2 linked regions of the Coturnix japonica genome follow. The protein of the gene in region 1 binds, or shares a complex with, the protein of each later gene. Links are inferred from orthologs where the notes say so. Each region holds a gene or a part of one and is shown on either strand. Other genes may lie near its edges. The genes, in order: FNIP1 and LAMTOR2.

Region 1 (4,528 bases):
CCCCAAACTCATGGTCCTGCAGCTCAGTGTGAAGGCAGGTAACAGTGCTGCTCTCCCAGCTGCTGTCTCCACGTACATAATCTCATGCCACAAAAATTTCTGCTGCAGACCCTCCATTGGAAATACATGCACATATTTAACAAGAAGTGACATAAGAACAAAGCCATAAAGCTTGAGAGCAATTCACTGAGCTCTGGACTCATCCTACTGAGCGCAGTTTGGAATGCTTTGATTCCACACACACCTGCAGTGCCACATCCCTGGTGATGGTAGGAGCACAGGGCTGGCAAGGTCCTGCTTGGCCTGCCCTGCCTCCTGCCACGAGCAGGCCACCACCAGATGCACAGCATGGCCAAGGATCCTATTTATAGCAGAAGTTACCCTTGGGGAAAATCCACTCACGTGAGTATTATTTGCAGCAGACAGCTGGTACTCGACACCTTAGAGCTTAAGGGTTGTCTCTGCTCTGGAATACATGCAGGTGTTTCTTGTAAACATATTTTACTATAAAAGCATGGAATGTTTTTGCTCTTGCTACAAACACCTGGCTGCACGGGGAGAGTGCAGTCTGAAGATCAGCTCTGCTGACTGTCACCAGTTAAGCTGACAGGTTAAAATACCAATATGTAGTGGATCTTAAAGCTGCTTCTCACATACAGGGGAAAGAAAAACCAAACAAAGTGAGACATCAGCAAATGCTTTGCAGCTGCTGACTTACTGGGCACCTCCCTGGAAGGGGCAGCCTCTCCACACCTGCTTCTGAAGTGCTGCTGCACTCAGCCTCAACGTGTCACATCCCCACCTGAGACAAAAGGATTCTGGGCAGGAGAAAGAAAAGTAATAAGGAAAAGCTTCCAGAGGAAAAGGTAATTTCTGTTATTGTTGAAACAACATAAGCTGAGATCAGTAGAACTTACGCTTTAGTAAACGTTCACAATAAGTCTGAAGGAAAGGCAGAATATGGTCAAAGAGAGGAAAAAAAGCATTAAAATAATCCTAAAACCACTTGCTATACAGATGTCACTGCCATAGAAGCTGGACTTTTCTCTCTCCTTATCAACCCCTAAATATATTAAGTGAATTTATATAATTGTAAGGTATTTTCTACACAGTTTCTCGCTAAGAGGACCAACGAGAAGGCAATCAACAGCAACAGCACGCGGTATACTTGGAAAAGGTTTCCTTACTGAGAATATAAACCAATAGTAACATGAAGTATCCATGAAGATACACTTGTATCACTGAAGGCAATGACACTGATGCCCCGGTACTTACTAGAAGCACAGAAGCAGACAAAAACTGGTTTCCAGGCTCCAAAACCCAGCTATCATAAATAACAGTATTTTGTGTATTCTCCATAAGTTTTGCCCACAACCAACGCGGCCATGTGTAGTGAGGATTAACTCCAGACTTATCCCCAGTTGGAAAGCAAAAGAAGCCACTAGGCAATGTGCCTACAGGCCATTGAAATCCAGCACTTGGCTCTTGGAATCACAGCCCCATCCTACACCTCAACCATCAGCACCAAGTGAACAACTGCGCATCTACCAGCAGCTGACGGTTCCCATGACACGGTGAAGCAGCACTACGTGAGTGGAGGAGGGCAGAGCAGACAGCGTGACATATCTTCAACGTCCACATGCAGTTTGGCACGCTGTGAGTTGAGAAGGAAGAAGAGGCATCTCCCAGCAGAGCTTTTGCTTTGTGATCCACATGCTTCTGCCTGGGGTCTGCAGCCCTGGTGTCCCTTCCCCAGCAAGGAGCCTGACCTCAGAAATAAGCTAAGTTAGAGAATCAGATGATACGGACATCGTTAAAAAGCTTTGTCTCCTAAAGTACGTATATTTTAAAGGAGCCACTACCACAGCCAGGAGAGAGAGGAGAGCAGCATCTCCAGAAGGCAGCTCTATGAGTTGCAGCACCAGCCTTCAGGTGCTGCCCAAGCTGCGTGCTGACCACACAAGGGCTCTGTGACCACCGCGATGCTCCGACAACAGCACAAGCACCACGAGCCGCCCGAAGCAGCGGGTGCAGGAATCACATCCCCACGTGCACTCAGGTGTCCCCTTCCCGGTGGGGCTGTCAGGGCAGCAGATGGGAGCAGCGCCTCGCACAACGTTCGGTCCACACTCAAACTGCAAACTTTGCACTTTAAAACTATTTCTCAGGGCCACCTTCTGTCCCTCCAGCCAAGAGGGGGCTGCGTGGCTTCCCAGTGCGGGGTGCTCTATTTTAAAGCCCAGAAACCGAGTCGTTCCCACACGACGGCCCCGAACGGAGCTCCGGGTGGATCCCACCGCCCCTCCTCAGCCCCACTGCTGCGACCGAGGACCCAGCGCCGTCGCGGTGAGATCGTGACAGATTTCACCAGTAACCCTACACCTCTCTTGGCAGCGACTTAACGTTTTCTCCTCCTTTTTCTTCACGTTTTTAAGGTCGCTCCCTCCCGGCTCGCAGCCCCGTGACGAGCGGCATGGCGCCGGCCTCCCTCACCATCCTCCCCCCTTCCCGGCCCCGAGCATCCCCCGAGGGAACGTCGGGAGCCCCCGCAGGGCCGCCCCGGGGGCCATAAGGAGGGCGGCGGGGCCGGGCCGCCGTGAGGGGCAGAGCCCGGCGGCGGATGGCGGAGGAGCGGCGGGGAAGAGGCGCTGCCCGGCCCCGCACGGCCCCTACGGCGGAGCGGGAGCCCGAGCTCGGGGCGGGGGGGAAGGAGGGCGGCCCCGGCGCCGCGTTACCTGAAGACGCAGTCGTCTCTCGCGTCCCTGGCCGGGGAGCTGAGGCCGTGCTTCTTGTTGAAGAGCTTCTGGAACAGGGTGGGCGGCATCTTGGGGAGCCGCCGCCGCTGCCCCCCGCCGCCGGGCTCCGAGCAGCGCCGTCCCCGCGCCGCGGCTAGTTCCGCCCGCCCGACTCCATTCGGTGTCACAGTCATATGACAAAAATTAGTCACTCGGCGCTGCCAGAAGGGGAGGGCCGGCGGGGCGGGCCCGGCGGGGCGCTGCGTGGGACGCTGAGTGGCTGAGGCCCCACGTGGGCAGGGCGAGGGGGAAGCGGAGCCCGCAGCCCCCGGGTGGGGAGCGGAGAGAGGGGCCGGGGAGCGGCGGAGCGGGGCGGAGCGGGGCCGGGCTCCTCCTGCTGCACGGGAAAGGCCACGAGGGGCCGAGAGCCCGTGGAACAGCCTCGGTCGGGAAACACCGCCGGGACCCACACCCACCCACCTACCCACCCACCTACCTACCTACCTACCTACCTACCTACCTACCTACCTACCTACCGTACCACTGCCCGTGTGCCCCCGTGCCACGTCGCCCCGCTCCGGAACAGTTCAGGGACGGCGGCCTGTGCCGGTGCTCAGCTGCTCTTTGAGAGAAGTAACTCTATCTTACATCCAACCTGCAGCACTTAAGAAACTTTTCCTTGAAAGTGGAAACAGGTTTCAGTTTGATCTCCTCGGACAGGTCAAGCTTTGGGGTTGGAAATAAAGAACAAACTCATCTCCTCCCACCTTTCATCTCATCCAGGCCTGCTCAGGGTGGGGGGCTCCCCCAGCACAGACAGAAATAGCACTCCAAGCTGGGAGGAAGGAAGGCAGCCACGTGTGCTGTGTGCAGGGGAAGCCATCGTACCCATAAAACATCCATCTGCCAAACGCATTTAGGACATAGTAACCCACACATAACCCACATGTGAATCCAGACCAAACACAAGCCAAAGGGAGCATTTTTTGCAGAAGCATTTATTAGGTTTAAACCAATGGGTCCAGTTAACAGCCTCCTTCACTGTCTCACTTGTTAAGATACAAGACTAGCAGAAAGTGAAAATAATTAGGAACTGATTAAATAGAACTGACTCATCTGCTTTCCCTGGAAAATGGAATTAAACTAAGTCAGCATGTGACATAATGTTACATTAGAAATGCTTTTAAACAAGGATATTTTGTGCATAAGATACACAACCACCTGCAGGATCTCTGGTTTTCATCCGCTAGAAGTTGATGCTTGTAACAGAAAGCAGGAACCAATGTTCAGATGCATCCTTCCCCCTTATTCTGGATGGAGGACACACCTGTGTGCCACAGGCTCACTAAGGAGAGCTCTCTATATCCCTTCACCATGTGAAAGCCTTCAAACTGGGCACATAAATACAGTTTCAGATGAGATCTCCAAGTACAGAATACTATAAAACAGTAGATTTTGCCCAGGAAATACAGCTGAGCTTTCAACAGCTTCACAGTTAACAGCACTGAAGACTGAGCTAACGTCAAGTGGATTCAAAACCAAGTTGTCAGAGCCCATTTAGAGGTGAGTCTGTTCCAAAGCTCCAAAGTTAACAGCATGGGAATCAGGCAAGATTTGTTAACACACCTTAACCAAGAGAGCAGAGGGGAGGATGGATAGGAAGAGAGAAAAGAATGAAATATGTTTCACCACCCATTTTCCTGAAAAACCTCCCCACGGGTTTTTCCACAAATCCTCACACCTGCATGAAAAACATGAATTTCAACTTATCTGCCCATTCAGTATGAGTCGCC
Region 2 (3,667 bases), on another chromosome or scaffold:
TCCGCAGAGCTCAGAGCGGGGCGGGCTGCAGGGGGTGGTGAGGGGGGCAAAGTCTCCTCTGTGTCGGGGTGTGAGGGGGGTCCCAGCAGTGAGGGGGGTCCCAGGAGGGAGCGCGGTCGGGGAGTGAAGGCGACGCGGGCGGCGCAGGGAGGCCCAGGGCGGCTGAGTGCAGGCTGGGAGCGGCAGCGCAGGTTGGGCAGGTAATGTCACCCCTGGAACCGTCACGGGGCACCTGGAGGAGGAGCCGGGCCCGGTCCTGGCTGCCAAGGCCACGCGGCGCGGGGCAGCCTGGGGCACTGGGGCCCTGGGCTCAGCATGGAGCTGGCCGGGCACCAACGGCCGCCTGCACCTCTGCTGCCAGCACAGAGAGATGGGAACGTGGGGGAAGCAGCCCCAGCAGGGACAGCACAACGCTCCCAGCTGCACCACAGACCCCTGGCTGGGTGCACGGCTGACCCCGTCCCACCCTTCCACCCTGCACTGATCTGACAGACACTCAGGACACGAGCACCACACGTGGCTTTATTTCCCCTCCCCTGCTGCCCAGCAGCACAGCCGGGCTCACAACACGGTTCCCCCCGTGCAGGCGCTGCTCTCAGCCGTGGCAGCGCGGTTCCATGCTCAGGATGCAGCTCAGATGCAGCTCAGGATGCGGCCACCTGCGTCAGCGGCTCCTCCAGGTATTGCACCAGCGCCTGTGCCTGGGGCAGGGATGGTGGTGAGGGGTGCAGCCCCCAGCGCCCACATTCTGTGGGCAAACCCCCGTCCCACCCCAGCACCAATCTGGGACCCACGCAGACAGTTCCCATTTTGATTGCAATTCCTCCCCCATCTCTCCCATCCTCTTCCTCCCGGCTTTAACCCCGTGGCTCTTTCACACCTCACCGTAATGCAGCCCCCCACCCCCTCACCCCCATCCCCTCACCCCCATCCCCTCACCTTGGCTTTCAGCATCCCAAATCCCACCGTCTCCTTGGCGTACATGCACAGCAGGAGGTTCGCCACGCGGGTGATGGCCACGCGCCCCTCCTGCCGGAGAGAACCGGGGTCACACGGAGATTCAGGGGGTCACAGCGGGATTTATGGGGTCACAGTGGGATTTATGGGGTCACAGTGGGATTTATGGGGTCACATTGAGATTTATGGGGTCACATTGGGATTTATGGGGTCACACTGAGATTTATGGGGTCACACTGAGATTTATGGGGTCACACTGAGATTTATGGGGTCACATTGGGATTTATGGGGTCACACTGAGATTTATGGGGTCACATTGAGATTTATGGGGTTCACACGGACCCCTTGGGCTCCCACACAGAAGCTGCTGCTGAACACCTCGGATCCCACTGTGGGTGCTGCTGTGGGTCCCGCACACCGGGGGTCCCGCATGGATCCCGTGGGGTCCCGCAGCCGTTCCGTACCATGCAGTCCATGAGGATGAAGCGCAGGTTGTCCTCGTTGAACGCGTGGTGCCCGTTCTTGTCGTAGGCCACCCAGATGTTGCTGGCGATGGCCGCGGTCACGCGGGCGTCCGTGTCTCCGTATCCCGAGTAGGCCAAGAGCGAGCCCTCATTGTTCAGCAGCCTGCAACGGAGCGGGGAACGGTCAGCTCCGGGCCGAGCCCCGCCGTGACGGTACGGTCACATCACACCGCAATGACCGTACGGTCGCACCGCCCCCGGCCCCGTCCCCGCTCACAACGTGCTCTGGACGCCGCCGGTGTTGGCCTGGCTCAGCACCTGCGTCAGCGCTTTGGGCCGCAGCATGGCAGGCAGCGCGGGGCGCGGGGCCCGTTCCCGGTGTAGGCCGCCCCCGTTCGGTGTTTGCTGCCGTTCGGTTCCGTTCGGGGCGGTTCCGCGCTCCGTTCCGGTTCCGGTTCCGTCGCCTCTCGATCCTCCCCGCCGCCAGGGGGCGCTGTGCTGCGGCGCGGGCCGTGGCGGCGCTCTGTCCCGGCCTTTCTCTGTCGGCCAGGGCTGGCGGGGCGGGCGGCGAAGATGGCGGAGCCGAGTGGCGGCGGCGGGCCGGGCCCCGGCGGGTCGGAGCTGGGAGGTCCCGGCGGGGCGCTCATCCGCGTCACGGTGAAGACCCCCAAGGACAAGGAGGAGATCGTCATCGCCGACGGCGCCTCCGTGCGCGAGGTGGGGACGGGACGGAGGACGGGGCCTAGGCCTGAGCGCTGCGAGGGGCCGCGGGAGACACGGGCCGCGAGACCGAGGAGGGTGCGGAGCGGGAAGGTGGCGGGAGGGGTTGGGCGAGAATTGGAGGGAGGAACCTCGGGGGTGTGAGGAGCCGGGGGGGGGAAGGTTGTGAGGGGCGGGAGCGGAGCTGGGCTGAGCGGAGCTGGGGCCTCCCCGGCCATGGGGGGCGTGGGGCCGGGGTTGGGCTGCAGCGGAGTGACGGCGTGTGTTGTGCGGGAGCCGAGGGGCTGGAACCCGCCGGGGGGCGAGAACGGGGCGTTGTCGGGGCGGTGCGGGAGGGGGGGGCGGGATGTGCCGGTGGGAACGGGAAGGGGGGGCCGGGAGGGGTCTGCGGGCTGGGGGGGGTGTGAGGGGCACGGCCCGGGGGTTGTGCTGCTGGTAGTGGGGGTGTTGTGGGACAGCGGGGAGGCGCTGCGTGGGGCGGCTGGGCCTGGAGGGATCAGGGATCTTCTCCCTTAGGGCCCGGAGATGCCTCAGGTCAGGGCACATGGGGGCGCGGCTCCGGGGCTGGCAGGAGCTGCTGGAAGAGCAGCGGGAGCTGCAGCTTGGGGAGCTGAGAGGCAGCGGGTGGGTGCTGTGATGGGACGCGGCCCTGGGGCTGGGCTGCGGGGAGCTGTGGGGCAGTGGATGTGTGCGGTGGGGCTGAGGCCAGAGGCTGCTCTGTCCGTCCTTCTCAGACCTTTCATTTCTGCCTTTGGGGCAGAGGGAGAGTGAAGCAGAGGGAAGGGGACGTCAGACATGTGGGTTTGCTGTGAGCAGGGAGCTCCACAGGGGCACTGTGTGTTTGCAGGGCAGCAGAGGGTTCACAAGAAGCGTTGTGCAGGTGGCAGTGCCCGCCGGGGCAGAGTGGTGTCAGTGCTGTGGATCTTGGCTGTGTGTGTGTTTTGCTGTGTACTTTGATGTGGGCTTCAGGGCACGAGGTTGCAGCGTGTGCTGGGAGCTGGGCAGGAGCTGTGTGCTGTGCGTGGCCCTGCTGCTTCCCAGCCCTGTGCTGTCAGCGTGCAGAGCAGCGGGTGAAGCTTCACGCCCTGGGTCACTTCAGTGCCAGGGGTCCGTCCTCCCAGGCCCAGTTTTTCGGGAGTTCTGGACCATGGCAGCGAGCTGCCCCAGGAAAGCTGTGATCTTCTGCTCCCAGCCTTTCCATGTGGATTTCCTGAACTCTGTGGCTTCCAAATGCAAAGGTTTCTATTCTCACCTATTGACTCGGGGACGCCCCAGCTGAGCTGGCGGTGACAATCTTATTGGCAGGTGCTGGTCCCTCCCCATCACACAGCAGAGATGTTGGCAGTGGGTGCTGTGGATAGTCACAGGAATAGAAGACCTAGTTTACATCCATTGGCTGATAAAGGACTGTGCCCTTTTCCGCACAGCTCTGTCCTGTATTGAATCAGAGCTGGGCTTTCCTTGGGAAATAATAAGATGAGCGGAGGCAAATAAAGCTCAGTCATTCTGAAGATAAATGGTGGGTT

What was found.
Region 2: FNIP1 (region 1) and LAMTOR2 share a complex: the UniProt entries of both Homo sapiens proteins name them as parts of the lysosomal folliculin complex. The link is inferred for Coturnix japonica from reciprocal best matches to the Homo sapiens genes FNIP1 and LAMTOR2.

Annotation. Positions count from the first base shown.
Region 1 is NC_029528.1:1,524,705-1,529,232, reverse strand, and holds the start of FNIP1 (folliculin-interacting protein 1), read right to left. Parts: upstream 2,947-4,528; 5' UTR 2,930-2,946; coding exon 2,736-2,929; intron 1-2,735. UniProt on the Homo sapiens protein: Binding partner of the GTPase-activating protein FLCN: involved in the cellular response to amino acid availability by regulating the non-canonical mTORC1 signaling cascade controlling the MiT/TFE factors TFEB and TFE3.
Region 2 is NC_029540.1:79,064-82,730, reverse strand, and holds LAMTOR2 (ragulator complex protein LAMTOR2), read right to left. Parts: upstream 1,891-3,667; 5' UTR 1,767-1,890; coding exon 1,699-1,766; intron 1,585-1,698; coding exon 1,422-1,584; intron 1,030-1,421; coding exon 940-1,029; intron 702-939; coding exon 645-701; 3' UTR 503-644; downstream 1-502. Other genes in the region: UBQLN4 (ubiquilin-4), read left to right, coding at 1,995-2,138. UniProt on the Homo sapiens protein: As part of the Ragulator complex it is involved in amino acid sensing and activation of mTORC1, a signaling complex promoting cell growth in response to growth factors, energy levels, and amino acids.